Drosophila melanogaster: one gene and its partners. The protein of the gene in region 1 interacts with the protein of each later gene in a pairwise test. Each region holds a gene or a part of one and is shown in the gene's direction. Other genes may lie near its edges. The genes, in order: CG14442, CG5026, RanBPM and CG4168.

Evidence for each region.
Region 2: the proteins of CG14442 (region 1) and CG5026 interact in a two-hybrid assay, tested with the Drosophila melanogaster proteins (one large-scale study listed by BioGRID).
Region 3: the proteins of CG14442 (region 1) and RanBPM interact in a two-hybrid assay, tested with the Drosophila melanogaster proteins (one large-scale study listed by BioGRID).
Region 4: the proteins of CG14442 (region 1) and CG4168 interact in a two-hybrid assay, tested with the Drosophila melanogaster proteins (one large-scale study listed by BioGRID).

Annotation. Positions count from the first base shown.
Region 1 is NC_004354.4:6,688,577-6,697,629, reverse strand, and holds CG14442 (uncharacterized protein), read left to right. Parts: upstream 1-2,628; 5' UTR 2,629-3,673; coding exon 3,674-5,227; intron 5,228-5,516; coding exon of another isoform or gene 5,517-5,552; exon of another isoform or gene 5,553-5,557; intron 5,558-5,611; exon of another isoform or gene 5,612-5,948; intron 5,949-6,275; coding exon 6,276-7,826; 3' UTR 7,827-8,334; downstream 8,335-9,053. Other genes in the region: CG14440 (uncharacterized protein), read left to right, coding at 1-301; CG3184 (uncharacterized protein), read left to right, coding at 8,890-9,053.
Region 2 is NT_037436.4:8,966,085-8,972,957, forward strand, and holds CG5026 (uncharacterized protein), read left to right. Parts: upstream 1-2,443; 5' UTR 2,444-2,830; coding exon 2,831-2,989; intron 2,990-3,092; coding exon 3,093-3,343; intron 3,344-3,413; coding exon 3,414-3,801; intron 3,802-3,863; coding exon 3,864-4,339; intron 4,340-4,398; coding exon 4,399-4,811; intron 4,812-4,864; coding exon 4,865-4,962; intron 4,963-5,018; coding exon 5,019-5,096; 3' UTR 5,097-5,668; downstream 5,669-6,873. Other genes in the region: CG5653 (uncharacterized protein), read right to left, coding at 1-278; CG5021 (uncharacterized protein), read left to right, coding at 885-908, 1,044-1,126, 1,198-1,432, 1,482-1,811; pix (pixie), read right to left, coding at 6,249-6,543, 6,601-6,873.
Region 3 is NT_033778.4:10,427,394-10,436,531, forward strand, and holds the start of RanBPM (Ran-binding protein M), read left to right. Parts: upstream 1-2,318; 5' UTR 2,319-2,390; intron 2,391-2,611; exon of another isoform or gene 2,612-2,680; intron 2,681-3,140; 5' UTR 3,141-3,192; coding exon 3,193-4,522; intron 4,523-5,645; coding exon 5,646-5,810; intron 5,811-5,878; coding exon of another isoform or gene 5,879-5,881; coding exon 5,882-6,072; intron 6,073-6,148; coding exon 6,149-6,330; intron 6,331-6,393; coding exon 6,394-6,506; intron 6,507-6,567; coding exon 6,568-6,719; intron 6,720-6,777; coding exon 6,778-6,980; intron 6,981-7,033; coding exon 7,034-7,197; intron 7,198-7,243; coding exon of another isoform or gene 7,244-7,252; coding exon 7,253-7,392; intron 7,393-7,524; coding exon 7,525-7,636; intron 7,637-7,692; coding exon 7,693-7,829; coding exon of another isoform or gene 7,830-8,330; 3' UTR 8,331-9,138. Other genes in the region: CG12896 (uncharacterized protein), read right to left, coding at 1-281, 344-426. UniProt on the Drosophila melanogaster protein: May be involved in JAK/STAT signaling. Isoform D is required for the proper arrangement of niche cells and is autonomously required for proper niche cell size, isoform C negatively regulates the adhesive properties of the niche.
Region 4 is NT_033779.5:15,197,110-15,203,013, reverse strand, and holds the start of CG4168 (uncharacterized protein), read left to right. Parts: upstream 1-2,554; 5' UTR 2,555-2,940; intron 2,941-5,904. Other genes in the region: Sfp35C (seminal fluid protein 35C), read left to right, coding at 950-977, 1,031-1,192, 1,252-1,307.

The DNA of each region.
Region 1 (9,053 bases):
GCTGGAGAGAAACGCCGCCCGGATGCGGGACAAACGGGCCAAGGAATCGGAGGCCGAGTACCGCGTGCGTTTGGCCAAGAATGCGGAGGCGAATCGAGTGCGACGCCAGAACGAAACGGAAGTACAAAGAACCCTAAGACTGATGAAGAATGCAGCGCGGCAGCGACTGCGCCGCGCCTCGGAAACCGTCGAGGAGCGTAAGAAGCGGCTGGCCAAGGCCGCCGAACGGATGCGAATCGCCCGGGCCAGTGCGCCCAAGGTCATCAAGCCGCCGCTGGCCGACAGGCTAAAGGGTTACTAATGGAGGATCGTATAATCGGTTAGCCTGGATTCAGGCAAATACGCCCATTTGGAGCTGGCTCTCCGGCAGAGCAGCTTGGCCGAGCAGCCCTAAAAGCTGGCCAGGATCGGCAGAGGAACACAGACACATCTACAAATTATATATATATATAAACATATATATATATTGTATACAGCCTATAAGAAAAAAGTTTGAGATAAGGAAACCAGTCCGAAACCAGAAGGATTCTTGAGGACTTGCAAATGAATGGGCAGCAGGCACTCTAGGATTAAAGCCAGGCAATTTTTTTTTTTAAGTTAAAAATTAACAAGATGAAGTAACGTAATGTAATCATAAAGTAAAGTATTTTTATAATGCATGCATTATATTCGTACGATATGTATACACACACGACACAAAAACCAATCACACACACACAGACACACACACACCCCCAACCCCCACACACACATGCACTAGCATAGTCATTGCCACACATATAGAGCCCCCAAAAAAGGGCAGTAATATCCCCCACTCCCCCAGGAAAAAGGAAGCTTACAGCGCCAGGGTGCCTCACTGTAAATAAAAAAAAAAAAAAAACGGAGGGAAAATCGCCAACGACTGGAGGTACACCTCCCAAGCTTAACAAAAAGAAACCCGAAAAACTAAATATTAAAATAATTACTGAGCATCGCGGATGGACGAGGCAACAAGTGCCTTTCGAGGAAATCCTCGGGCGAAACTTGCTATAACATTCAAAAATCGTATTTTTCCACAACAACTGAGGCACCCTAGTGACGAACAACCCCCATATGTGTGTGTAAGTTGGTAAAGGCATGTAACCCAAAACGGACAGCGCCACTCACATAAGGATAATATACACACACTCGGCAGCTCCCACATAAATATATGTATATATACAAATTTATATATATATATATATATATATACATATATAGTTGGAGCATACACACATGATCCGTAGCCAGGCACATAACGCAATATTTGTTAAAGCACGCAATCCTTCCTCCCTTCCCCAGCCAACATCCAACCGCCCACTTTTCCTAGACCTTATCCTTATCCATATCCTCAGCCTCTTCCCACGCCCATGTCCTTCCGCGCGGGCCCACATGATATATACATGATATATATTTATATATACATATATATACATATGTATATATATATATTATGCTAATTATTATTAATAAAGTGTAACCATTAAGTTCTAGTCGAAATTTCAAATTGTTTTTCTCCTGTCTAAATACGTTTATCAATTGTTTTTTGCCTTAAGACATAAGATTGAGATACATTTTTGTGTATTGTAATATTCGTGTACACTAACAATGACAACACACAACAAGAAAAATCAACAAACAAAACACAACACCAAGAAAGTGAAAACAGAAACAGAAAAATATAAGCGAAAAAAAACGAGAATAACAAAATGAATATACTTGAATAAAGTTGCATTCACAATTTTTAAATGCTGCGTTCTGAGCTTTGGTGGGAATTTAATAGGGAATAGTGATAATCTAAAAAAAAGTAAAAGCGTTATCAACCGGAAATGATCAGGAATGGTTGATAATAACACTACAATTTTGAAAATTTCCTTCAAATCTGACAGAATGTCCTCGATGAACCTGAAGGGTGGGTCCCATTCTCAGGATCGCCATCCGTATGCTTGTTGTACATTTAAGTATCACAGCAATTAAACAAATTAAAAACTCCCATCTAAAATACATTTAAATATAAAATATAAATAATTTACAAACTCCATTCAGCACATGCTACTGAACTAATCCTATTATATATACGATTATCTACGATTATCAACGAAATGCTCTTATTGGAAATAATATAGTTTCTAATTTTATATAAATAGTTTAATTCACTTTTATAAATCGCATTTATTCATTTCAAAAAGATTTGAAAGCTTTGGAATGTTAATGCCCTGTTAACATAACATAACATAGTTGATTGTTATGTAAAGTAAGCTTTAAAACAGTGTGGCCAAGAGGCGAAAATTTGTTACAATTGAAATAGAATTATCCATGTCTTGACGTTACGCTTGATTTTTAAAAAATCGATTTCAAACATCAAGCTATCGACAAGCTGATCTAACTATAACATTAAGTATGGAAAAATAGTACATATATTCTGTAATATGGTACTGCAAAACTGCAGCCAAATAATAATATAAATATTATCTGCCTGCAAGACTAATTTCCAAATTGTAAAATAAACCCGGGCGATATTTCAAGCGGAACATCGGTTAATCAGTTGCATTTTCCAATGAATCGACAGCCTGCTCAACTATCGATGTATCGATACTTTTTACCATCCCTACTGTGAACAGAACGATTGTTGAAATGAAAACAACTGAAATAAGATGAATTAAATTAAATTAAAGATACAGTACCACGGATTGCGAACAAGTACGCATACTTCAAGTTAATGACATTACGGTGCGATCGGAAGTGGCAGATATACGCTGGTCCCAGCTATGTGGAAAATTCCCGGTAGTTAAGTTAACGCTGCGCCGCCACAGAACATCCTTTTAACCCACCAAGAGAAAAGGCGCCTGGATGCACCGCAGCACGGCGAATAAATGGAATTACAAATCAAAGGGTTAAGGTTTGTGCAAAAAGCAAAATAAGGAGCGGAAAAAAACTCGCACACACGTACGTTGCGTATTGCTTCGTTGCGCGTGTGTGTGTGTGTGTTTAGCAGTGCGTGCTTGTGTGTGCGGACGGCGGCTGCATGGGTGTGTGTGTATAATCATGTGAAAAATCGATTGGCAGCGCAGAAGCAGCGCGGCGGCGGCGCCAATTGTCACTGACTCGCAAGAAGAAGCACGCTTTTATGAAAACGCACGAAAAATTGTAATGGCCAAATACGAACGGTAATAAAGTGCATAATGCTAAAAATGGAGAAGAAGAATACCGCTCATAGCCAAAAAGGGAACGAAAGAAATGCCCGAGGACCACAATAACAATAGCGGAGTGATCGCCGCAAAAATAGAGTGCGAGAGAGAAACGGCGCCAGCACACACATATTCTTTATATAACTACTAGTAAGCAAAAAGCGAAACAAAACAAACACAAAGAGGAAACGCCAAGGAGCAGCGGACGAAAAAAAGAGCGGGAGACGGCCCAGAGCGTGCGAAAGAGAGGGGGCGAGCAAGAGCGCGGCCCCTAGATGTTATCGAAACAATCGGAAGGACTGCGCTCATCCTTTCGATAACCAAATACCCATCGTCTATATACACATATATAGATATATATCTATAAATATATATATAAATATATATATATACATAACAAACAGTACACTTTTGGAGCCCCGATAGACGACAATTTCGATTGTTGTTGCCCCGGCTTTTGACCAAGAATGGAACCAGATCCCAATGGGATAAAAATAGAGCCCTCACTTGATCAGCAGCAGTACGCCACCCATGTGCTGGCCATCAATGGCTCCAATGCCCGCCTGCTCATCGAGCATCCCTCAGCTTTGTTGGTACCACTCTCCTCGCATCACCAGCTGCAATTGCAACAGCAGCAACAACAGCAGCAGCACGTACAGCAGCAACATCAACAACAGCAGCAGCAGCATCAGCAACAACAGCAACAGTTCCAGCAGCAACATCTTCACCAGCAGCAACAGGATCAACTGCAGTTCCAGCAACAGCATCTCCAGCTTTATGCACCACTGAAGCAACAGCAATTGCAGCAGCAGCAATCGCAGCAGCCACCCACTCCATTGGGACCCACCAGCAGTGCCAGTTCCGCATCCATAACAGGTGCCTCCACCACTGGCCACCAGCAGAGGTGGAACGAGAGCCCCGAGGCACGCCAGCGCCGTCTGGCCAGAAATGCTGAAAGGATGCGGGAACGCCGGCAGCGCGAGAGCGAGGAGGAGTATCGCAAGCGACTACTCCGGAATGCAGAAGCCAATCGCCAGAGACGCCAGAATGAATCCGACATAGAGCGGGCCATGCGGCTAGTGAGGAATGCGGCCAGGCAACGGCTACGCCGGGCCATGGAGTCGCCGGACCAGAGGGCCAAACGGCTGGCCAAATTGGCCGAAAGGATGCGCATGTATCGCGCCAGCGAGACGAACGATCAGCGAAAGCTCCGGCTGGCAGAAATGGCGGCAAGGGCGCGCCAAAGGATCGCCAATGAGTCACCGGAGGAGCGGAAGGAAAGACTGAGAAAGCTGAACGATTATGCCAAAAAGGTCAGAGAAAAGAAGAAGGTACTGAAGCATGTTGTGGTGCACGGTGGTTCGTCGTCGGTGGTCGTCTCAACGCCGACATCCTCCTCGTCGTCAACGGACCAGCAGCACCACCACCAGCAGCAGCAGCAGCAACAGCAGCAACAACAGCAGCAGCAACAACAGCAGCAGGTGCTGGCTGTTGCAGCAGCAGCCGCAGCAGCGGCGGCAGCCAATTGTACTAACGAACACACTATCAATCTAAACCAGGCGACCACCACAGCGACGACGACGACAACGGACGAGGCAGGCACCCCGCAGCCCGCGGAGGATCAGCAGCATCTGGTGACAGCAGCCGCCTATCAGCAACACCAGGCCCTGGCCGGAGTGGAGTATATGGGACAGGGCATGTTTCTGGCGCCCGGCTCCCTACGTCCACCCATGCAACTGAAGCAGGAGCCACAGACGCCGCAGCAGCAGCAGATTACACAGCAGCAGCTGCAGCAGCAGCATCAGCGATACACCATCACCGGACAGCAGCAGCAACAGGTTACGGCTGCTCTGCTCGAGGGCACCGAGCCGGGCAGCATCTTTGTGCAGCAGATCTATGGCGATGAGGGTGGCAAGGGCACCGCAAAGCTGCTCCAGGCCCATGTGCCGCACTTCAGCATCGCCGGTGGCCAGCTGGAACTCTACCCGCACAAATATGCTGCCAAGAAGCAGGAACTTCAGGTGCGTATGCAGTAGGCGTAGTAGATAGCAAGAATGATCGGCGATAGCAACTAAATCACGCACACACACACAAAGTAACGCAGCAAAACTAAAGTTTGGCATCCTCCAGGAACCTCATCTTGCCCATGAATCCATCAATGTAATTTGTTATCTAGAAACACTATTTATTTGAAATCTAATCGGTATTAGAAAAAAAGGGCACTATCTACTTCCAGTAAACGTAAAATCAAAACATGATTAGCCTAATTTAGCTTGATTCCTGAATAATAACAATAAATGATTTTTACAGTTGCAGAGGAATTTGGAATCGAATACAAATTCGTAGCGCTGGTAAAATATCAAACAATTGCCAATACTCGTAAATTTCAAATATTTTCCTTGCAGTTGGCGAAATCAACTGCCTCAAAGGAAAATGCTTGAAACCGGAAAGTAGGAATTTTGAAAATATATAGAATTCAATGGAAATTGGCAGAAGAAGCGGCCAATGGACCTCTCTTTTTTTTTGCGCGTTGCCTTACCCGCATTTTAACTCCTCTTTTGATCAAAAGCGAAAATCGTATAAGTTTATTTCAGTTAACATTATTGTTCGTTGTTCATATTACTTGTGTTAGTTCTTTTTTTTGGTCAGAAGCAAATGAATTAATCAATCGTATAGAGTGTAGATATATGTAGCAATGTAAATCTTGAACCTAAGAACAAAATACTTTTACCAACCAGAAACAAACAAAAAGTGGTTTTAATTCCCTTGTACAGGTGTGCGTTCGTGTGTGTGTGTGTGTGTGTCCTCCATCTATCCCTTTCGCTCTATCACTCGCACTCGGTTCTTTTCGAAAACCAATCTATAAGACCACCTTCAATCACATCAATCAATCTTATCACTCAAATTACGAAATTAGGTTGCAATGATTTGTAAAATTCAATTACCGAAGATTGCTGTGATTGCGAAGATTAAGATTTATACCAGAATTCCAAACCGATAGTCCCATAACCCGCAGAATCAAACCGACTCACCCGTTGGCTTGCCAATCCCTTCTATCCCTTCTTGCAGTCGGACAACGATGCTACGGTATCAGCGGGCGGCAATGATAACAGCGGGTCTGTTAGCCTCGGCCACAACGAGACCAAGGTGATCGTGACGACGGCCAGCGGGGAACAGAAGCTGCTTAAGGCGACGCCCGGCCAGGCGCAGCAGCTGTATAATCAATTCCCCTACCTGGCCACCTTCCCTAACACCACCAGCAGCGGCAACAGCACCACCAGTACCACCAATGTCGGACACGTGGGCGTGGTAACGGCGGGTACAACAACGGGCGCCGGCGGTACAACCACCACCGCCTACTATCCAATGTACCACAATGGCTTCCAGATTGGCATCGGGCCGAATGCAGTGCCGCCGCCGTTTACGCCCGTCAACTTTGCCAACGCCAGTGGTGGCAATAGTCCCGGACAGTATAACATACTGGCGGCGAATCCAACGCTAACGGTCACTGGATTGGGACAGCAGGAGCAACAACAGACAGGCGCGTCGTCGGCGGCGGCGCCACAAATTGTGACCACACCTGTTGGCAGGGGCAGGCCGCGAAAGAATCCGTTGCCCAGCGAGGAGCAGCTAAAGGTGAACAGTCTGCTGGAGCAGGAGCTCAATCAGATGCTGTCCGCACCGCAGCTGGCCACCAGTACGCCGCGTCGCGGCAGGCCACTGTCGCAGGCATCGCAGCAACATCATCAGGAGCTCAGCCAGATTCATGTACATTCCACGGCCGATGGCGACAGTCGAACGCCAGTGTTGACGCCGCGACGCAGCGGTGCTAACAAATACGAGACGGAGGAGGAGAAGCGAATACGTTTGGACAAGATGGCCGCACACCAGCGAGCGGTGCGTGCCAATGAGACGCCCGAGCAGCGGGCCACGCGTCTACAGAAGCTGAGCGAACGGGCACGACTGAAGCGGGCCCAGATCCGAGCCACCGAGAATACGGACGAGCGCAAGGAGCGACTGTCCAAGCAGGCGGAATATGCGCGAATGCGACGCATGCGCAGCCACACGCCGCGCAGCAGCAGCGCCACCAGCACCGAGTTCCGTGCCAAAACCGAGGAAGAAGATGAGTGCCAGGACGATGACACCAGTGCCGAGCATCATATGTACGAAAGTGAAGCCGTTTCGGTCACTGGCACGGGCAGTGATGGTGGCTTCGTTTCGGTGGTGAAGGCCGACAACGACGATTCACCATTGGGCGGTGGCGATGGCTCCAACGATCACGAACAGTTGCCGGCGCTGCAATTGCAGCAGCATGAGCTGCAGCAGATTGCCGGCAGCCTTCAGCAGCAACATTTGGTGCCGCATCCGCATCACGAGGCGATTGTGTTGAACCAGCAGCACCGCCTGGTGACCATCAGTCAGCACCAGCAGCAGCAGCTCCATCAGCAGCAGCATCCTGGCTTCAGTAAACTGCAGACGGTCAAGGATTATGCAAATGCAGCCGGCGGTGGAGGCGGAGGAGGAGCTGCTGGTTCTGGCGGCGGCAGTGGAACGGGAGCACCCGAAAACAATGACATGCTAAAGATACTCGAGCCAATCATTGTGATGAAGACCAAATGAGGTTCGCGGAGGCGTCACAGTCGCAGCACCAATCGCTAGAAGGGATATGTGTGGATGACGTGCTAGCCAGGCCTCCATTTCCGCCGGAATATCAGGCGTTGGACGCACAAACGATGGAGATATCTGCGAACAGTAGGGATTGTCTATAGTTATCAATAAGCGTATATTTTTTTTTAATCTGTTTTTTAAAGTGTTAATGTACTTCAATGGTAGATTTTGTAAAAAGTCAGAGTAAGCGGAGATCAAGGATCAAGTGCAATACGGATGCCTGGCAGGCACAAAAGTCCACCGGAAACCCAGAAAGCTAAATGAAATGAAACACTGTGACGCCCCGAAAGCCACTGAAAATCGAAGAAATGCAGCTAAAATAAAAAGATAACTACGATCGATGGTGGAGATCCAACTAAACCTAATCCAGAATATGTAGCGCGTAAACAGAGCACTAAGTAGTTGTATGTATTAACTATTAATTTTTTAAATTAGCAAAAAAAAAGCAAAAAAAAAACCCAAAATAACAAATAAATCTAATAAGATCGAAACAAAACGGTCAATGGCAGCGGTGTATGGGATGTATGTGTGGTCAGCCAGTGGCTATCGGTTATCGATAGCAAATGCAGAGGCGAACGTGTTTTTGCATGTTGCACGTCTGGCGCGCACATGACGCGCATGACGCGCACCACATCCGCTGGAAATTTTTTCCAAAGGCAGCCTTTCTTTCTTTCTATTCCTACTCATTACGGTAGTGGTTGTCAGCGTGCAGGTGATGGAAAAGCTCTGGAGGATCTGTATAAAAATCATAATTAACTTTTTAAAAATGTGTTCATATTTTTTCACATTTTTATTGGTTTGGCAATTTTCTATTGATTTGCAAAAAATCTGTTTTCCACTCCTAGATTATTCTTCGTTTTACTGTTTGTCTTGCAGATTTTTATCAGTAGAAGCCCAAAATAACAAATAAATCTAATAAGAACAAAACAACACGGTCGATTGGCAGCGATGTATGGGACAGATGGTCAGCTAGTGGCTATCGGTTATCGATTGCTGATAACATCTTTTCATAAACATGTTTACAACGCTCCACAGCGAGGATACGGAATATTCGGCAGATTCTGTGGAGTGGCTGACACACGATGATGCGGCAACGGGTTTCTTTGCCTGCGGCACCTATCAGTTGGTCCAGGAGGAGGACGAGCCGGCGGCGGAGACTTCAGCCAAGCGTCCACGCAA
Region 2 (6,873 bases), on another chromosome or scaffold:
TTTATGGGACTGTAATAGTCGCCTGTCTCGTGCAGGATACCCATATCCTTGACCATGTCGTATACACAATTTTGCTGCTTTCCATGACACCACTGGGCTCCCAAATCGATGACGTTGTCACCAAAATACACGGTGTTGATCCGCCCGCCAATGCGATCCTCCGCCTCCAGGATCTGAACATTCTGGAAATTGTTTTGCAGGAGTCGAGTGGCGGCGGCTATGCCCGAAACTCCTGCTCCGATTATGATTATCCTAGAGGAGGCACGGCATTTTTCCATTTTGAAACGTTGGTAGTTAAGTTCGACAGAAAGAGCAGACGATCAACGAGCTACTGATGAAGTTTGTGGGCTAACTTGGCAAGTGATGGATGCTGCATTTCAATGGCTTCCACTGCGGTTGGAGTACAACTTTTTGCACACTCTGCTGGTTTTCAGCCACAACCATGTAACATTGAGAATCCGGGTCACAGAACATAAAAGTCGTCTTAGATAATATTGCTTCGGCTTTTATTACTTAATATGATGCGTAAAAAATTATGTTTCATAAATAACTTAAAAGTGGCATTTTTTTCTCATTTGGCGCTGCTATTGCAAATAACAATTCCACAAACAAAATGAAGGGGAGCTCAATAAAAAATGTTTGCAAAATTTTCAAATACGATAGGTTTAAGCTCGATTACTTATGGTGCTGCCAACCCAATCGAAGTCGAAGAAGTGCTTCACCCCTGCGAGCTATCGACTCAGTGCGAAAACGATAGAAGGCTACGCAGGCAGAAACAACAACAACGTCCCAGGCGAAGAAAATATATTAAATCCCCTGAAAAACCACGAAAATCCATGAAAATTGCACCCAACTAGGAATTAGAAGTCACTCCCTACACCAGCATGGCATCCGCTACGGTAAGAAATGTATGTATGCCGCACTAACACCTAACAAGCTGCTTGATTGGGGTGCCATTCTGACAATACGATCCGAGGTTTTCCACGAAAACTCATATTTTACAACGAGGCAAGCCAAACTAATCCCACATACGTGTTACACAGGTGCCGCTGCTCGACGATGACACGATACCCTTTGGCGAGGAGGACGAGATGCGGGATCCCAGTCGCGCGGGTCAGAAATACACGTATGCAGAACCATAATGTTTGTTGATCAATTCCATTTACCCCAACCCAACCCAACGCGTGTACTCCACAGGCACCCGTACGTCACCTTCTTCCACCTGTTCTTCAGGGGCGCCGCCATCCTGATCTATATGTTCTGCGGTTGGTTCAGCGACTCCTTCATCACCAGCTTCGTTTTCGTGGTGCTCTTCCTGTCCGCCGACTTCTGGACGGTGAAGAACATCTCGGGCAGATTGCTGGTCGGTCTCCGCTGGTGGAACTACGTCGACGACGATGGCGTATCGCACTGGGTGTTTGAGTCAAAGAACGTGAGTCACGAGCATAGCTAACTAGATTGCCCTTGATAATGAAACGCAGTCTGAATCCTACCAGAGTCGGGTCAACAAGAACGAGCAGCGCATCTTCTGGCTGGGACTCATCCTCTGTCCCGTCTTCTGGGGCCTCTTCTTCCTGTTCGCCCTATTCGGCCTGAAGTTCAAATGGCTACTGCTGGTAATGATCGCCATTGCGCTGAATGCCGCCAATCTGTATGGCTACGTCAAGTGTAACTATGGTGCCAATAAGGATCTGAATTCCGCCGCCACAGACTTTGTGAAAACGCAGTTCTTCAAGAATGCCGTGGACATCATGACAAGGCCCAGTGGCGCCCCACCGCCAACAAATGTACGCCCGACGGGAGTCGTTTGAGCTGGTGGAGACGCCATCTACTAAGTCACCTTGCCACCGTCTGCTGCAGCGCATTCCAAAGAGTATTCGACGCTTCTTCTGGCGCGGACCACGACCTTCGATTGGCATCGCTGTCTGTGTACCATATGTAAAACTTAATTTAGCCATACTGCAATCTACCATAATCATTTCTTACTTTTACTCGGATTAAAGGACCGCATGTGCGTGTGACATGCAACCAGTATGCCACATGGTTTTATTTCGAATGGTTTAACTACAAATTTAAGAATAGTTATTAAAAGGGATTCAGATATAGCGAAATGTGTTTTATTTTTATTCTCTGCATCTTAATCTGAGTACGAAAGACGTGAAGCAAATAATTTTCATTACTGTTAGATTACTATAAATTATTTAGTTTATTTTCTTTTTTGTCATTTTAGTTTCATATATGAAACTGTCGTAAACATATATTTAAAAATGAAGCGTAAATATAATCATTCCTGCAAAACTAAACTAAATGAAATTGCAAAACAATTTAAAAATATTTTTACATATTAAAAAACCTGATAATTTTTTAGTTCTTTGTTAGTGGCAATAACGGTTCATAGGCAAAACGCAGTGTGGTAGTGGACGCCACAACAAAGCTTTCCGGCTCAGTGAGCGACGGGCACACTGGCACAAAGCACAAAACAGAACAGTCGGTCGGAAACGGAATCGAAAAGAAAGAAAGAAATGCAATCTGTGCCGTAAGCGGGGGCGTGGAACAAAAGTTTTTGCAGCCCGGAACGAGTTTCATTGTTAGCTGCAGAGCAGCAGTGCCGTAAGTCCGCCAAATCCCCGCCAGAACCGGTGACGTACGCACTGCTGTGGGTTCAAAAAAGGGGACTCGAAAGGCGGGATAACCGTGGCGAAGAAGGGCGGAGGTGGAAGGCGGCGTCGACAGAAGCAATCAAGTGGCAACAGGAGATAGCCGGGGCAAAATGCAAAAAGTTAATTAGTGGGGGCCAAATCAAATCGGACACCCCGCCGAGGGCGACACCATGGAATTCGCCGACCTTATAAAGACCCCCAAGCTGGACGGTGTCCTGCTGCACGACCCATCGAATGCGGGGGCGTCGGGTGCAACAGTTGGCACACTGTGCATCACAGGGCACCATTTGCTGCTCAGCGCCCGCCAGGAAACCAGCCAGGAGCTATGGGTAAGTGGGTTGAGGCCTGCCCACCTAATCCGATGTGCTTCGGCATCAGTGGAGCGCTCATAATTGAATTAGAAATTCATCATGCTCATCCCCCTCTTTTCAGTTGCTCCACAAGAACATCGACTGTGTGGAGAAGAAGCCTAGTTTGTCGCAGAATATCGTGGTCGGTGGGATTATCACCCTGAAGTGCAAGGACCTGCGCATCATTTCGTTGGAGATAAAGTGCGGCAAGGAGTTCTTCAACGTGGCCGCATCGCTGGAGGCACTCAGTGCCATCCAGAACACCGAACTGCTCTATCCATTCTTCTACCGGCCCATGTACTCGATCCTAGAGGACGGCTACACGATGTTTAGGTGGGTACACGGCTTCTCCATAACTAACAAATTGGCTACAATTCAATTAACCTCCCCATCCAAACGACAGGCCCGAGCTGGAGTTCGCCAAACTCATAAGCGGGGTTGGCATGGGCGGTGCGTCCTCGCCGAATGTGGCCAACATAACAATTTGCATGCCATCAACTTCGACATCGACGTTGACTGTGGGCGCCGGCATTCCCCATCCTCTGCAAAATGGCTATGCGATAGAAGCCCTTGCGTGTGGTGTTGGTGGTGTGGGAGGTGGTGCGCTTCAAAGTCCCCAGGCCTCCTGCGAGTGGCGCATCACCAACGTCAACAGAGACTTCAGCGTCTGTGCCACATATGGCGCCACGCTAATTGTACCTAAAGCAATTACGGACGAGCAGATAGTGCTCTCCGCTGCGTTCCGCGATGGCGGCCGCTTCCCCGTGCTCAGCTACAGGCATGAAAATGGCGTAAGTCATTGCATCTACATCATCAAATTTTATTAAATTAATTCAATGATTCATATTTGCAGGCCACACTAATGCGCAGCTCCCAGCCGCTGTCCATTCAGGGCATCAAGCGCTGTAGAGCTGACGAGGCTATCCTTAATCTGGTGCTGGGTCGCAGTCGGAAGGGGTTCATCGTGGACACTTGGGGTAAGGGCAAATCGAATACGGAAACTGACCTGCACTACTCGCAGTGGAAGAAGGTAAATCGTTCAATTGGAAACGTCAGTTCGCCCGCCTCTATTTTGGACAGCTTTGCTCGGCTTATCGAAGCTTGCAACGATTTGGGATGCAGTACTGATAAATGGCTATCGCGACTGGAGAACAGCGGCTGGCTTAGTCTTGTGCTGAACTCACTGAACGCCTCCTGTGTGGTGGCCCAATGCCTGGACCAAGAGGGAAGTCCAGTGTTAGTGCACGGTGCTAAGGGGTTGGACTCCACGCTTATAGTCACCTCACTGGTGCAGATCATTCTCAATCCGGACTGCCGGACTGTAAGGGGGTAAGTAATCATATTCTCCTTACCTTGAAAAAGATATTTATGCCGTGTTCCCTTTGCAGCCTGCAGGCTTTGATAGAGCGCGAGTGGATCCAGGCGGGACATCCGTTCGCCTCGCGTCATCGCTACTCATGCTATACACCAAATCAGACACGCAATAAGACCTCTGGTGCCACCTTCGTCCTATTTCTGGATTGCATTTATCAGCTTTACACGCAGTTCCCCTGCAGCTTTGAATTCAGCACTCAACTGCTGATCCTTCTATTTGAGCACAGTCACTTTTCGCAGTATGGAACTTTCCTGTGCGATTCAGAGCGGGAGAGAAACGAACTGAATGTGCACACCAGGACGACGAGCCTGTGGTCTTATTTGAACCGGCCTGATGTCCTTCAGACATTCTTGAATCCGCTGTACGAGCCTAATGCCAATGTGATATGGCCATCGGTGGCGCCCATAAGCTTAGAGCTGTGGAGTGGTATGTTTAAGAACTTAATATATGAAACATTACTCATCAAACATGCATTTTAGATCTCTATTTGCGGTGGGTGATAGATCAACGCAGCTCAGTCACAGTCATGTCGCAAATTCAGGAACTTGTCACCCGCGAGAAGGAACTCAGGACTCAGGTAAGTCCACTTGAGTATTGATAGCGAAATGCTTACTGATGACATGTATCTTTCAGGCCCTCAAGTTGCGCAAACAAGCCATGGAGCTCGGCCAGGAAGTGTCCAACCTCATGAAAAGTGGAAACGATACATAGTCGGCTACCTCAAATGTTCTCTATCTTTTAATCTCCTGCATGATATACACTTATTTTTGATACGTTCTGTTGCAAGATTTCGACAATTATTTAAGCACATAGCAAAACTAATGTTAAGTCACTAAAAGTTCCATTTACAAGAAATTATGCTGAAGGAAAAAGAAAATAAACAAGGTAATTAAATTATTGGATAAACCATAGGATCTGCTTTTGGATCAACTGAAACACTCAATTTTAGACATACATGTGTCCATTTTTACTAACTATACTTCTATTGCATAAGTTCGGCAAAACAGTAAGAAAACTCTCCTTGTAAAACGCTCTCTACTCTCAGACTCAGATTGGGATTCGAAACAGCACAATGCAACTATCAAATATTTGGGTCAATTTTTGACGCATTTACTTTTATGGAATTTTTAGCGTATAAGTCTCCAAAATTACCTATTTATAGTACTTACTTGTGTCAGTTATTTAGTGGTCAACAAGCCACAGATCAAATTAAGTATTATAAACTCAAAAGATTTGCCTTTTTCGAAAAATTGTATGTAAATTTGATTAAATCGCATAAATTTAAAGCTTCAAAAGCGTTTACATTAAAAATATGCTGTGCATGCGTTGGTATATCTAAAAACAAATATTGTAAATTATATACTTATAAATGTTTGTAGCTGTTATTCATTGTGCGTCGATTTCGTATTGTGATCAAATTTGAAATGACAGAAATTTGTATGTAATTTACATTTGTATTGTGCGTATTTTGAGTAATTATCGCTTAAGTGCAATAAATACGTGTTAATTTGCAAACGTTAGCTCTTTTAAACTCGCAGGATTCTATGAGCACCACTTTAGAAAAAAGAACTTTCAAATGCAGTTTTGTATAAAGAAAATTGGTTTATTTTTGCTAGACTCATTTAAAACAACATTCTGTTGTTTCGGTTCACTATTTATTTCGCTGTAAAAACGTATATAAAACTCACTTTAATCAAGTACAATTAATCCCCAATTTTCGATTGTACGCAATCCTCGACAACAATAACAAATTAATTTGAAAGCAAATGTGTTCTTCAACGAAAGAATGCAAAATGAACGAAGGAAAGCTGAGGAGAACATAGAGAAACGAGCTGTCCCATCGAAGTTGCCCGTGATCCTGTCTTAGTTGCAGGCTTCGTCCTCCAAGAAGAAGAACTGGCCGGAGCGTTTCTGTTCTGTGTCCTTGACCGAATTGTTTTTGTTAATGCGGGGTCTGAAGTTGTTGGGATCGCGACGGAACGTAATACCAAGCAGTTCGAGGAAGCGGTTCATGCCATTTAGCAGCGACTGCGGCGAAAAGGCTGTCGTCTTCACTGAAGGCTGACCCTCGATCACGATGACACGGTCGGCGAGGTAGGTGGCCATGATGAAATCGTGCTCCACCACAAATCCAGTTTTCTTGGCGTGCAGAATGTAACTAAAACGAGATACCATCAATATTTGTGTGCAGATTTAAAGTCTATGTAAAACATACCGTTTGATAACCTTGGCGGCCACCAGACGCTGCTCTGAATCCAAGTAGGCAGAGGGTTCGTCGATGAGGTAGACATCCGCTGGCTTGCCAAGACACAGGACCAAGGCGACTCGCTGCAACTCACCACCGGAAAGGTTCTGCACCTCCTGGTCCATGATTTCCTCAATTTTCATGGGTTTCATAACATCGGCAATAAACTGAGGATGCACGTAGGCGTCACGAATCTTATCGTGCAATAAATGGCGAACATGATTTTGGAATTTCGGGGAAATC
Region 3 (9,138 bases), on another chromosome or scaffold:
CCTCGGGATCCTTCTTCTGCTCCTCGTCGAGCATGCCCAGGGTGACGGCCAGGTCGCGAGTAGGGTCGGCGATGATCGGGTAGGGGAAGTCCCCGGGAATGTCCAGGCAATAGCTCTTGATGTCGTTCACCCAGTCCACGTGCGAGTTCAATGCGTCAACGGAATGCGCCAGGCACTTGGTGTTCCGCTTGGCAAACTCCGGCTGGTGCACCGCAATCCTGCCCAGCTCAGTGGTGCAGACGGGAGTGAAGTCGGCGGGGTGAGAGAAGAGCACCACCCAGCTGGCGATCCGAAGGAGAATTGGTAAGATTCGATCAGAGAAAAAGGGTTTGATGGCACTTACGAGTTGCCCTGCCACTCGTGGAATTTAATGGGCCCCTTGGTTGTGTCGGCCTCGAAGTTAGGTACGGTCTGTCCCAAACGCATCTTGCTGTTTGATTTTTAGTTTCACTTGGAAAAAAACTTGTTAGTTGCTCAGCTGGTAGCTGTTATTAGCTCGCACACTTGTTGCTTACTGAATACTGACTGGGAGAGCTCGCTGTCTTTTATACCCGACTGGATCAATTTGATGAAAGGGGACCGATAGAGACAGAGAACGGGAGCTGGCTTATCGTATCATATATGTACATATGTATGTTTGTATGTATAGTACGTGGTGCTGCGGGTAGACTAACAAACAACTCAGTGATAATTGGGGACATTGTGAGGGGAAAGATGAGGCCTCGTACGGGGTCTCCATATTTGTGTGAACCTCAAGAGGGGCCTTAAAAAAACCTGTTTGGGGCGTCACACAAAAATGGACTCTGTGACGAACACATTTTAGATGTAACGCAAAATGAAGTACAGTTTCGCATATTTCTTTTAATTTAAACTTGTTCGAATAAATCAATCAGTCCAGAACCAATTCCTTCAGGATCTAGTATCAAAACAGCTGATTTGATGCAGTTGACGGTTTTGCCGGCTCCAAACATAAACAGAGAGCGAGAGCGCATTTAAATGTTAAATGGTGTTGGTAAACAGAGGCGAAGCACCAACACCTGCAAACATACAGCCACGCCGATAGGCGGATATTGAGAGCGAGAGAGCGGCGAGCAACGTGATGGTATTTGTGAGTGCCTGCAAAAATCGCACACTTCCATAGATCGCACGGCTCTCCCGTTCACGTACAGAAAACGAGCCTCTAATTGAAAGTGAAGAGCGAGTGAAATCGTGAGACTGTGTGCGTGGGTCTATCGAAAATTAGCACACCAGCATAGGTTTTCTCTCAGTAAGTCACACATAAAGATGGAATGGATTTGGGAAGTCGGATGGGCAGATCGCTCATTCAGAAGGCAAAAGACAGTACGCATGAAAGCAGCCCAAATAGGAATCATATGGTTAAAATTCAATATCTAGTCATAATGGATACCAAAAATGCAACAATTGATAAGTTTAATTAGAAGAGTTCCCTCCCAGTAGCTCGATCGTGTTTCATAAGTTACAAGTACAGTTTTTGTGCTAGTGTATAAAGTCTAATCAAGAATCCAGCAACATTCGTCTCTACACCAGACGTGTGGTAATTTTCCACTGTTTATTATCAGTTACGTGATAGGATTTCTATTCGGAAAGGAAGTAACTAAAATACAGAGTGAAGGTTGAGGCGAAACGAACAAGAACGATTAGAAGAGTGAGATAGAAAGTGTCAAAGCATTTGAGAGAAGCCGTAGAGCGAACCGGTAAATTCTGCAGCATCGATAGTCTGTCAATCGAATCGAATCTTTTGAATTTATGGCGGTTTTTTTTACCAGTGCAGCGATCTCTTAATTACATTCTGGGCAGAGTACTAGAAATCACTAAAGTTTTTTGCGCTGATGCATTTTTAAATCTGGTTTCAATGTAAAACGCGTATGTTTGACATTCGTCATACTTTTATACCATAGGCAGAAGTTTCTAAGTAATAATTGCCCTTAATATTCTTATCGGTATGGCGTAAAGTATGCGCTAAAAATAGATAATATGATCTTTTTTTATAATTTAAACCAATATTTAAAAGATTAAATTAGCATTAAAAAACATAACGAATTACGTAAGGTTTAATTTTACCCAAAAAATAAGATTGCTAGCAATAGTGCAATAATACCCTCCAAAAGTATTGTCAAGGGTTTTACCTAAAAACATTTTAAGATTTTAATGGCACTTTGGGAAGTGTGTTACTGCTTATCAAATTTTGAATTTAGGCGCCTAAAGAGATTTATTCGATAAGAATAATCGATAGCTGCCGAGCGCACTCTGATGTTGTCAGGTGTCGGAATAGATATCGATATCATCGAATGAACATCGGCTTTTGTTCCAGCTCTATAGCATAAAGTCAAAACTTCGTAGATTTAACAACTCATAGCAATCGTTTGAAGGTAAATATAAGGAAATATCAACTGTAGATCCGATCAACAGCATAGAATGACAGCCAAATCGAATTCATCAGCTAAATAAAACCCCAACAAAGATCATTTGCCCCAGCTAAAAAAAAATGATAATTTTCTTCTCTGCGTGTGGGAGCTGCGAGTGTGTGTGCTTGCTGCATGCATATATGCGTGTGTGCGAGAGGGAGAGAGTGCTGCCAGTGTGTGAGCTGGTGCTTGTTTGTGTGTGTGTGGACAGTGACTCGTTGGTTAGAAGGGAAAACAAAGAAAACTTCAGAAAAGTACGACGTAAAAAGGCATTTACAAATGTAGAATAATCAAAACTGACTTGCTAGCAATGTTAAAAAGTGCAGAAAGCATTGGCTAATATCGTTTGGCTATTGATTTTTTGCATTTTCGTGCATGCAATTTTGTAGCTGTAGTTGTTGCTGTTGTATTTTTTTGTGCTGCAGCTGCGCGTCGCAACTGTAAACTGCTGTTGCTGTTGTTGTTTGTATTTTGGGTCAGTTAACGAAAGAGAGTGCACGAGTGATTGAGAGAGTGCGAATGAGGTGAACGGTGTAACGGACAAAGGACATTGCATTTTGGAAGTTGTTTGTGTTTGCTAGCCTCCTTACCCCTCCCTTCGTCACTCCTCACGTATACACACACAGCATCTGCATATGCACTTCATCCGCTCTCTCTTGCTCGCTCGTTGCTGGCTCACTCTCTCTAATTCCTCGCTGAACGTCTCTCTCTCAGCCTCCTTTTGCAACCACAACAAGATAAACAACAACGACAACTCAACCATAACATGGAGAACGTCGAAGAGGCCCCGCCACTCTCTTCGGAGAGCAACAGCAATAGCAACAACAGCAGCGCCAGCAGCAGCTCTCACCAGCTCTCTCAATCGGGAGCCATGGGTGCCGAAATAGCCCCCTCTACGTCTCGGTCACACTCTCATTCGCCCACACCCTCGCCGCCCGTCCCCGCGTCCTCTCACGACCAACCCCATCCCGATCACCCTAGTCCCCCATTGAATGCATCTGAAACGGAAGCTCGCGAGAATTCACCACATGATCACTCACCCACTCCTACTTTCCACCAGACTGCACCGCCACCCACGACTTCATCGACGGCACCGCAGCGGGACGAGCGGGAGCAGCAGCAGCAGCAAGAGGCGCCACCATTGCAGCAGGATCAGCAGGAGAATTCGCCCGCGCAGGACCAGGAGCTGCACCCATTGCTGGATCAACAGAATCAAGAATATCCCGCAGTGCACCAAGATCAACAAGCGGAGCAAAACCAGGAGCTGCATCACATAGAGGGGCTTATTCGGCACCGAGAATCACAGAATCCGGAAGAGCATCCACCACAAGCATCGCTGGAAAACCGGGAGACATTAGGACGAGAAGATACCAACCAAGAACCGGATGAGCCGCAAGTTCGAGATCCCGAAATCGAACCAGAAGCCGAGCCACCGCCACCGCTGCTTCTCGAAGATCTGGACGAGCAGGACTCCGGATCGCAGGATCTTAACGAACAGCAGCCGCCACTGATTATAGACGCAAACGCTATAGCCGAGACCATAGACGCCAACGCCGTGGAGCGCATCGACGACTACGAAGACGACGACGAGGAGGTGGATGAAGAGGAGGAGGTGGTAGAGGACCGGGTCGACAGAGCCGGCGAAGTCGCTTCCGTTTCCGGTGCCCAGCGCCTGCACTCGGTGGCCGTTTTGCCGCGCTACTCCTCAGCCTCACGAGCCCCAAGGAGCAGCAACAATAACAACAACAATATCAGCAATCACAACAACAATAATAACAACAGCAACAGTAACAGCCTCTCGCGACGCACTCGTCACTTCTACAGCAACAACGGCAGTCACTTCAGCAACGACATGTTCCCCAGCCACAATCCCCGCAGCAGCACCCAGACATCATCGCCGCGGGTCGGTGGTCGCCGCCATCACTCGACCCCCGCCGCCAGCTCCAATTCGCCACAGCACCAGGGCGTGGATCCCCTAAGGCTGCTCTATCCCAATGTCAACGAGAGCGAGACTCCGCTGCCCAGGTGCTGGAGTCCCCATGACAAGTGCTTGTCCATCGGTTTGTCGCAGAACAACTTGAGGGTCACCTACAAGGGTGAGTAGGATTCGAACTTCTCTATAAATCAACTCTCCATTTCATACCATCTAAAATAGAAAGTAGGCAACGATCAGGCAACTATAAGATACAGATTTCTTAGGAGCTGTCATAGTTCAATTCTAAATCGGTTTCATATTGCCACTAATACGCACATTTCAATTTCGCAATGAAATGTAATAATTAAATATGCACTTACATAGATATAGTTACATAGATATGGAATAAATTGTAATAAGTTTGTCTACGCTGTAGCCAAGTATGAGTATCCAGGTGGTATAAGTGCCAGAGTTCATGGAGTTTATCTTTATTACAACGATTTGACTTTGTTCTTACATTTTCAAATTTGTATTGATCTAAAGCTAAAGAGACAGTATACAATATTTTAGCCCTTAAATCAAAACACCCGAATATAAGGCTAGCCCCTACTAAATTATTACTTGCATAGTTATTAATTGCATTATCGAAATTATTATTTATTCGAAATCCCATCCACAAAATCTAATATTTGTCTTGAAGGATGTAACTCAATGCAGTAGAAAGAAGAAGAGTCGTAGTGCAGCTGCAGTTTTCACTCTCTTTCGCTCTATCTCGCTCTGGCACACACACGCACAGGGCACAGACAGGTGCTCTCAGCTGTGCACTGGTGGTTTTTGTTTTTCATAACCCACTTCTCCCACGCTCATTCGCGTGGCTGTTAAACCGCTAACAGCAACAGCTGGCTTACCAGTGCGACATAACATGTAAAATGCGCGTAAAATGTATAAGTTATTACGTAGATGGTGCGTTGCATAGATGTAAAATGTATATTTAGGTTACTTTAATTTCAGGTAAAATATATAACTCAATAATTCGAAATATTTCATTTAAATTGATAAAATGTCTCATTATTGTTTCGACGTAGACTTAGGCCAAAAATCAGTTTTTTTATTTAGAGTATCAATTTTATTATTTTTATTGTCCAGATAACCAACTCATTCATTTATGTTAAGAACATATCCCATGTACTAAGTTCGAGAGTAGGAAGTTCATACCGAATGGATAAAAGAATATTGTCTTACTGCAATGCTATAGCATATAAAAATTGAGATCTGTCAAATACTGAAACCTCATGACTTTTTAGGTGTGGGCAAGCAGCACAGTGATGCCGCCTCAGTGCGCACTGCCTATCCGATCCCGTCCTCCTGCGGACTGTACTACTTCGAGGTGCGGATAATCTCCAAGGGACGCAACGGCTACATGGGCATTGGCCTAACTGCCCAGCAGTTCCGTATGAACCGCCTGCCAGGTTTGTGTTCCATTGTGCTGCTCGGCGAGATGTGCCCATGATTCCTAATAACCGCACCCCCCCTCAAGTAGGTTGGGACAAACAGTCGTACGGGTACCACGGCGACGATGGCAACTCGTTTAGCTCCTCGGGAAATGGCCAAACCTACGGCCCCACTTTTACCACCGGCGATGTGATTGGATGCTGCGTCAACTTTGTGAACAACACGTGCTTCTACACCAAGAACGGAGTGGATCTGGGCATCGCATTTAGGGATTTGCCGGTGCGTATTCAATGGAATTTTAAAACTACTTTATCTTCTAACTTTATGTTTGTTAATCTTTTTTTTTTTTGTTTAGACTAAGCTTTATCCCACTGTGGGCCTACAGACGCCTGGCGAGGAAGTGGATGCCAACTTTGGTCAGGAACCATTCAAGTTCGACAAGATCGTCGATATGATGAAGGAGATGCGCTCCAATGTGCTCCGCAAGATCGATCGATATCCACATCTGCTGGAGACCCCAGAAAACCTGATGAATCGGTGCGTTTTTGTTAAATGTGTTTAAAAATCATGGCTTAACCCAATGACTTCTAAATTGCTTAGCCTGGTTTCCACTTATTTGGTGCATAATGCGTTCAGCAAAACCGCCGAGGCCTTCAATGGCTACACAAATCAGACTTTCAACGAGGACTTGGCATCGATCAAGACACGTCAAAGTTCGTATATTTGCCATTTGAAATGACAACACACATGCCAACTTTAAATCCACTCTTCCAGAGATCATTAAGCTTATACTGACTGGCAAAATGAGCCAGGCCATCGAACATACACTACGTTCTTTCCCCGGACTCCTGGAAAATAATAAAAACCTCTGGTTCGCATTGAAGTGCCGCCAGTTCATTGAGATGATCAATGGAGCTGACATTGAGGTGGGTTTTTAAACATTACATGCGGAAGATAAGTAGAACCGGATGGTTTGTCTTACAGAACGTGAACAACAAAGTCACCGCCACCACACAGACCATGCCCACAAACCAGACGTCAGTGATACAGTCCACCAAGACGTTCAAGCACAGCAAGAGCGGCAGTGGAAATGGCAACGTCAACATAAATCAGACTCAACAACAGAACAACACTGCGATTCCAGCTGTGATAAAGCCACAAGGCGGCGATAGGCCAGATATAAAAAAGTAAGTCAAATGTAATACTTACTCCGATCTTTAATCACAACGTACTGTTCAAGCATGTTGGTTGACGACAACTCCAACAAGTGCGTGGAGCACGACAGCAACAGCATGGACGTAGAAATGGAGCCCTGCCAGAGTCACTCCAACGGCGGCGACTCGAGCTCCAATGGCAATGCCAGCGCAGTGCGCAACTCTCTAGATGCCATCGACGAGGAAATGGGTATGTATCTATTGGCGGCATTTCCGGGAAGATCCGTAATCCCTAGCACTTGCAGATGTAGATGTTTCCCCCTCATCGCGTAACTGTGGTCGTGTGATCGAGAAGATCCTTGAGTTCGGCAAGGAACTGTCCAGCATGGGCCAGCAGCTGGAGAAGGAGAACCTAATGACTGAAGAGGAGCGTCAAATGTTGGAGGTAAACTATAAAAATGTATAAACAATAGAAACTGGTATCTTGCAGACTAAGCACTCTTTGTATTTGAAAAATAACTTCAATAAGAATATGATTATCCGTAATCGAGAGATATTCAATTTATGGTTGTTACAGGATGCATTTAGTCTGATTGCCTACTCTAATCCTTGGTCCAGTCCGCTGGGCTGGTTGCTGTGTCCCTCGCGACGTGAGAGTGTTTCCACCACACTCAACTCGGCCATATTGGGTAAGTCTTTAAACACTTGTCTCGAAACGAAGTTACTAATTACTATGATTATGCAGAGTCCCTGAACTTCGAGCGTCGTCCGCCGCTGGAATACCTGGTGGCTCACGCCTCGGAGCTGATCAAGGTGATCGGACAGCACTCGCTGGGCGAGGACGCTTTCATTACCATCGACGATGTGTTCCCGCAAAATTGACCCAGTTCCCCGACGCTGCTGAAGATGTTCGAGACCACGCTGACCCTGCCGCGAACCAGTGTGCTTACGGAACCGTTGGGCAGCGCCGGAACCGGATCTGGGCCCTCCACATCAACGGCTGCCGTGGCAGTTCAGACCAGCAAACGACGCCGAAGGCGGCGTAACAAACGTCGCCGCAAATCCTCCCTGTCCAGCAATACCGATGCCCCGTCGTCGCGGACCTACGATCCCGTGATGACGGGCAGTACGCTCCGGTCGGCAGCTGTGGCATCGGTGGGCGGGGGCACGGGCACGGGACCAGTGCGTCGGGGTCGTCGCAGGAGCGGGGTCAGCTCATCTTCATCGGCGGCAGCGGCTGCAGCAGCGGCAGCGGAGGAGGAGGCGGAAGAAGCGGAAGCGGAGGCGGCTCGCCAGGAGGAGGAGGAAGCGGAAATCTTGAGCGGAAACAGCAGCCCATCGATGTTCGTCGATCCGCAGGACTTCTTCGAGACACTGGACTAAATTTAGATTATTTACAATTTGCAGTAGGTTAAATTTTGTTGTTACTTCCGTTCTCTTTCTTTTTTACCTGCGCAACCGGCTTCAGTGCGCCTATTTAAAACTAATCGCCGTTCTTTTAATTGTTCGATTATGCTAAAGATGCTATGCGTTTGGCGGCCTTTGATTTGGCGTGATTTTTAATAACTTTTAACATATATTTTATATAGCCTCTCTAAGCATAAAGTGTGTAATATTATGATGTATAATTAAATTTGCGAAATGTGCTGCGACACGACCCTTGAAATTGAATTAGCCCTTTGTTTTTCGCTTCCACCGCCCGAAACACAACAATCACACACCAAAATATAATCTAGAATTGATAGTGAAGGGACTAGCCTGGAGCAAAAGCTGTTCAATCATCTCCTTAGCATGTTAATATAGAACCGAATCCATAGTTAACTGGTAGACATTCGCGTTTTAATTCTCCGTGTTTTCAGCGATTTTCGATGGACTCCGCGCCATCCCGTGTCTTGTGGCAAGACTAAGCAAAAGCAAATGAACATTTTAAGTGTAATGTTTCGCTATAGTGTTTAAGCGTATTAAAATTTAATCTATATATACAAGATTGGTCATACACACATTCGGCAAACATGAATAGAATTTAACTGGATAATCGTTTAAATATATTGTATGGATGTGTATTTCAGGAAAGCGAGAACTGTGTTTTAAAGGGGGTTCAAATTGGATTAAATATATGCCATTCTGACAATGTGTTCAGTTTTATATATTAAAATTGTATCTTTTCAAATGTCATGATTTGTTGATTAAG
Region 4 (5,904 bases), on another chromosome or scaffold:
TTCAACTCCAACACGAAAAGGGCAAGCGCGAGAAAGGAAACGCAAAAAAGCGAAAATAACATGGAATTGTTAAGGAACTGCAAACTGCAAATCCATTAAACCACAACAAGAACAAGATGCAGCAGGATGAGGTTCAGGATAAGGACCAGGATGAGCACAACCGAGTAAAACTCCGAACTACAGTAGGTATTGAATCGAAATGGGGAATGTTTCGACACAATTGACTGAAAATTGTTTGTTAAATGTGCAGAGCGTTGAGCATCACGAAGGACATTTGTAAATGTATTTTTTTCGGATTAGCCGAAACGGCTTACACTCAATCAACCTAAACAATTTCCTGAACAGATTTAAGTTATTTTCTCATGAATTTTAAATCAAATCCATCTAAAGTATTTCCGTTGCTGTCCTCATAGTTGCACTCAGTGCTATAAAAATAAGATTACATTTTTTCTAAGTTTATCGAATCGATTGTAACTTCTTATATACCTCAATTTTATTTTCAGGTTGTGACTGAGCCGATTTTTTTTACGAAATCGACTCTAAGCATATCTACAATGAAAAATTGGCATGCTTAACAAATGTTTTTTGTGCAGCATTTTTTGAAAACGTATATTACTATGAAGCAGAATCCAATTGTTGTGGTCTTACAAAGAAAATTAAATAATTATTATTTTACATATTTTACCTTAATGAGTTTAGTTAACCCGAAAATTCTCAAGCTGAATGAATGAATTTAGTGGACTACCGGTTAGCTATTTCTTCTGACTAAAATAAGTTTAGAGTCAATCGCACATTCATTTTTAACATGTACTAAACGTATTATACCATCTCGTACAAAATTTAATTGGATTGTAATGCTTTTTTAACGCATTTAACCTTAACCAATATAACCAATAAAATGCAATGTACTTGAGACTGTTTAAGTCAGTTATAATCGGCTACTATCATTATGAAATTGTTTTTCTTAGTTATTCTGGGTAAGCTAAAGATTTTCTAAATATTTTGATCATTCTTATTGTTAATCAAACAGCCTGTATGCTAATCGGAATTGCATGGGGAGAAAACTGCAATAAGCCGTGCGGAAAATGCATCTTGCCCACCTGCAATTATGATGGCAAATGTTACTTTGAGGGAACTAGCGCTTGTGCTCTGGAAAATGAAAAGTGCCGACGAAAGAAGAATAATCTTGACCGTGAGCTTTATGTTTGAAATGTTTTTTACCCGATTTTAACTTCTTTTAAATGTATTTAGAATTCGTAAAAACCGTGTCTGGGTTCTGTGAGATGGGCGTTAAAATGTGTAAATAGCCAAATAAAATGTTTTCAATTGAATTATATAAATTAAATATATTTCTTTTAAGAAATAAATAGTTCAAAAATAGTTCAATTGCTGTTTGTCCACTATTTTGATGTTTATTTCATTTGGGAGTTTTAAAAAGGGTATATGATATGATTTTTAACCATAACTTAGTTTCGCCTTAATGAAATAATCTACTGCTAGTGCTACAAGTCCAATTGCTCCGTAGTTTGACCGATGAAAACCTCAAGAAGACAAATATGAGGAACATTTTACTTTGCCACTCAAGCCCCAGAAAAGCAAACCCAAACGAAACGAAACGAAGCGAACCAAACCGAGCCACCCAACTATGAAAAATTTAAACTTTGCATCCAAGCCATTTATTCATCCTGCTTGGCATCTGCCATCATATCTTAGCATGCGGTTCTGGCTTCGTCCGGAGTTCTCTGCCCCCATTTTGCATCTTAAAGCCTCCATCTTTATATCTTTAACCATCTCTATGCTCTTCGGTTCTTGGGCAGTTTGGGGTGCACCTTAAAAATTAATTGAAACATCACTACCGGCTAATATTGTAGATTAAAAACAGCAAAAGGAGCTGTGCTGGGTAAGAGGACCGAAATGGGCCGCACCTAGATGAGGCATATAAAACTTTTGGGGTTAACTGAGTGCTCTAAAAACGGTCAGAAACTTGCAAATTGCCAGTATGCTTGGCCATTTATCAGTCTTAGTTGTGGGTTAGTTGGAAAGAATGTTCCACAATAAATTCGAACAACAAATTTGGCTTCTTCTGGAGTTTATTAGCTGGCCGCCGGAATTTTGCGGTCAAAGGGCGACCTGAACTTGAATCTGGCCGGTCGGTCGCCCATCTCCCGCACCTCACCCCCACCATCCACCTATTGTACATCCATCTTCGTCTTTGCCCCCATCAAGTCACTGTCCAGTTTAGAATTTCTTTGAATACTCCGCCTGATGACAGAGCATTGCCAGATAGCATACTAATTCCGGCTCAGTCACTGCGCATGCCCAGATGCTCCGGTAATCGTGGGTCTTCGGGCTTTGGGGCTCTCGCACCAGCGGCATGGGTCGTGTCAACTGACTTCGGGGGCTTCGGTTTTTGGGTCTGTTGCGCCTAGGACAACAATTTCCGTGTTGCATGCCTCGCCTTCGGGTGATCTAAAAACGAAGCGAGTGTCGAGGTCGCCAACGTGCCATAAAATGCGCATAATGTGGCACGGATGTGCCAGTCCACGTTGGTAATTTGGCGCGTGAGCATCGCCGATTATCATTTTTGCCACAAGTGGCAGCCCGTATAGTGATGTTGCTGGTGCAACGGCAACATTTCGTACCTCTAGCCGGCTAGATAAAATCGCGAAATGGTGACCACAAATAGATAGGCTTTGATAGCCGCGAAGCATTAACCAGAGATCGTATCGGTCGAGGGAGATCCGGCAGTGCTTATGATACCAAAAGTAATCAAGCGGTGATTGCAAAGTGAAGTGATCAGTAATCAAAACTCAAGTGGCACGAAAGCAGAAAGAGCAAACGAAGGAGAGAAAAGTAGCCTAGGCACATGCAACAACTGGATACGGATACGCTTTTCAAGCCCTGAACAGCCGCCGACCTACGAACCCACCCACAAGTCAAGTACGTAACAGATTGATGAGCAAGTCGCCGTCGCTGTCTCAAAGAACCACCCACTCACTTGGCCCCCCCACATCATCATCCTCATCCACCTCCTCCTCCTCCAACTCCCAGCCACTCACTCGACCAGGCACTTGACTAAAAGTTCAATTTCCTGCAAGATGCTTTAATTGAAGCGCACAGTAAACAAGAAACAGAAGCGGAGAAACAGAAAACAGAGTGGGCAAGGGTCACTCGTCGCCTTGGGTGCCTTCGCTCTGGTCAGTCATTAGTCATTTGCTCATTTCCGCAAACGCAGCCCGGATGTGCAGCACTTGTCAGTCAATAAACAACCTCGACGGGGGGTGGATGATGGGTGGTGGACGGATGATGGGTGGCGATCCACCCACTCTCCCAATTAAATGTGGCAAACGTATCAGCGTCAATCACCGATTCTGATGGCCAGGCCAGTGCATCCTGCCGCTTCACTGGCGTTTCCACAGATCGGCTGAGGCATCGGGAAAATGTCTCGGGCTATTTACATTGCCGTCCAAGGGATTGGATGCAATTTCGATTGGTTCATGGATCAGGTTGGACTTGCTTAAGGTTTTAATTTAACAAGCAAATGTTGGGTACCATACACTTGCAATGATAGTTTGTTTTATTGAGAGCTATTGATAAACTAACAGCTGTTTGACAAACAACTAAAATAACAGCTGAGAGTTAGTCGAAATGTCTGTAGATTTGGCAAATAAAATATATAAACACATGTGTGGTTTTTAACAATTTTAGATCAATTTTAGTTTGGTTGCAAATTTGGTTCCCAAAAATTATCGCCATTTATATGTAGCAAACAATAGGAAACTACGTATATACAAATGAAATATAAATGTTCATACAAAGATTTTTTTCGAAGGAAGGATTAAAAGACAAAGTATAAGTGTTTTAAACTTTTCTCAACCACTACATTTTTTGGATCTGTGTCTTTGGTCTTTAAGATGATGGAAAGAAAAAGTGGAACGCGCAGAAAAATCTGGAGGTGTAGTGTTGCAGTGGCAGTGGCAGAGTGGGTGAGTGGGCGTCGGTGGGTGGCAGGGGGAGTGGCGACTGCATATGTGTCACACATTGAGTTTCTTGGACAACAATAACCAAGACGGACAGGAGCAGGGTGCATCGCAAAAACGGTGCATAGGTGCTAAAAAAAAAGAAACAACGAGGAGCAACAATGGAACGGAGGTGGGGAAATATGGGGAATGTTGGGGGGAGTACGCAAGCTAACCCAGTTTTTTTTCGACGCTGGTTCTTCACAGCTCAGTTTTGTTTTGGGCCTCCTCTTTTTTTTTATTTTGTCTACTGCTGCTTGGTACATTTCTTTTTATGGCTTTTACGAACTGGCCGCAAAACGACGACGACGAATAACCAACTTCACTGACAGCAGAAGAAACGAAAATATTTCGACCAAAAACTGCCAGACTTGTCCAAAGCCACCCACCACCCACCACCCACCAACCCATCCCACTGGATGAAACCTGTTTTGTAATTGTTGTGTTTTTATTCCGAGTATGCGTGTTGATGCGGATTTCTTTGGCTTTCCCAGCGCCTTCTGGGCTCTAGCTTCTTGCCTGGGCCATTGTCACGTAAATCTGTGACAGAAATTAGCCTCGTTGACAAAAATATGCCTGCTTACACATTATTTGTACAAACAAATAGACGGGCAACAGTTAATGGGCGTGGAGAGTGTCGTCCTCGTGGTGCCTCTGGGTTCCATGGGCACCGTTCCATGGGGTTCTTGGGTTCTTCTGACGGGGGTGTTGCAGATACATGGGTCTGGAGAAATTTGCATGGGAACTGCGCCAGTTGACGCTGTTATTTCTTGGCCTCTTTTGGGCGAATTCCTCAGCTAGTTTTGTGGCTGTCGTCCTGTCGGCTTTTCTTCTTCGCCTTGTTTTATTGATCTGTTTATGCTTTAGGACCTCTGGCCCTACACTTCCCCCCCATCACAGCAATCTCTGTCAAACCCTCATCATGGATAAACAAACAAAAAAAGTTTTATTTGTGGACTACTGAAAATGCAAAATAAAAAAAAAGAAAACAAAAAGCAAGGGATGCGGGGACCGCAAATGTGCTTTTTCGGGGCAAAGTTGTGCCTAGGCTAATGACCAGACAGGCGTGAAGGCAATCATAAACTGCGTACATTTCATCCTCCCACACTTCGCACTCGAAGTTAATTTTCCTTGACCAGAGTCTAGCCAGGTTGGAAAGTTTACTCTAGCTCTTAATCAACTCATTATAATGAACAGAGAAATAAAATATCCATAACATGCCGTCGATTAAATTATTTGGTTGCCTTACGGCACTTTTGCTGATTGACTTTATGGAGTTTTGGTCTGATTTTTTCCAATAAAATGTAATGAGATTAATAAATCAAATTGTTGCACATAAACGATTAATGCTATAAAAATGTATGCATGTATTTAATTATACCGCTTACTTTTAGAGTTAAGGGTATACAACATTCGTTGAAAAGTTTGTATCAGTTAGAAGGATGAGTTTTCGACCCTATATTTTTTGAACATTGATATTAAGAATGCAGATTCTAGAAACGGCGAGATTGTGCATCTTACCCACTCTAACGCTGAGTACAGGGTATCAGATAGCCGAGGAAATCGACTCTCTTTTTTTTATTATTTGTCTTGTCAATTTCTACCGGCATGCCAAACCATTTTGGCCAAGCTCCTTTTGAAATACAAGCCTGAGTCGAATGTTTTCAATAGGATTTATATTTCTTGTAATCATATAAAATTATTTTATTACAGACAGAGGGAAAAATAATTTTCCGAGATTGTGCATCTTACCCACTCTAACGCTGAGTACAGGGTATCAGATAGCCGAGGAAATCGACTCTCTTTTTTTTATTATTTGTCTTGTCAATTTCTACCGGCATGCCAAACCATTTTGGCCAAGCTCCTTTTGAAATACAAGCCTGAG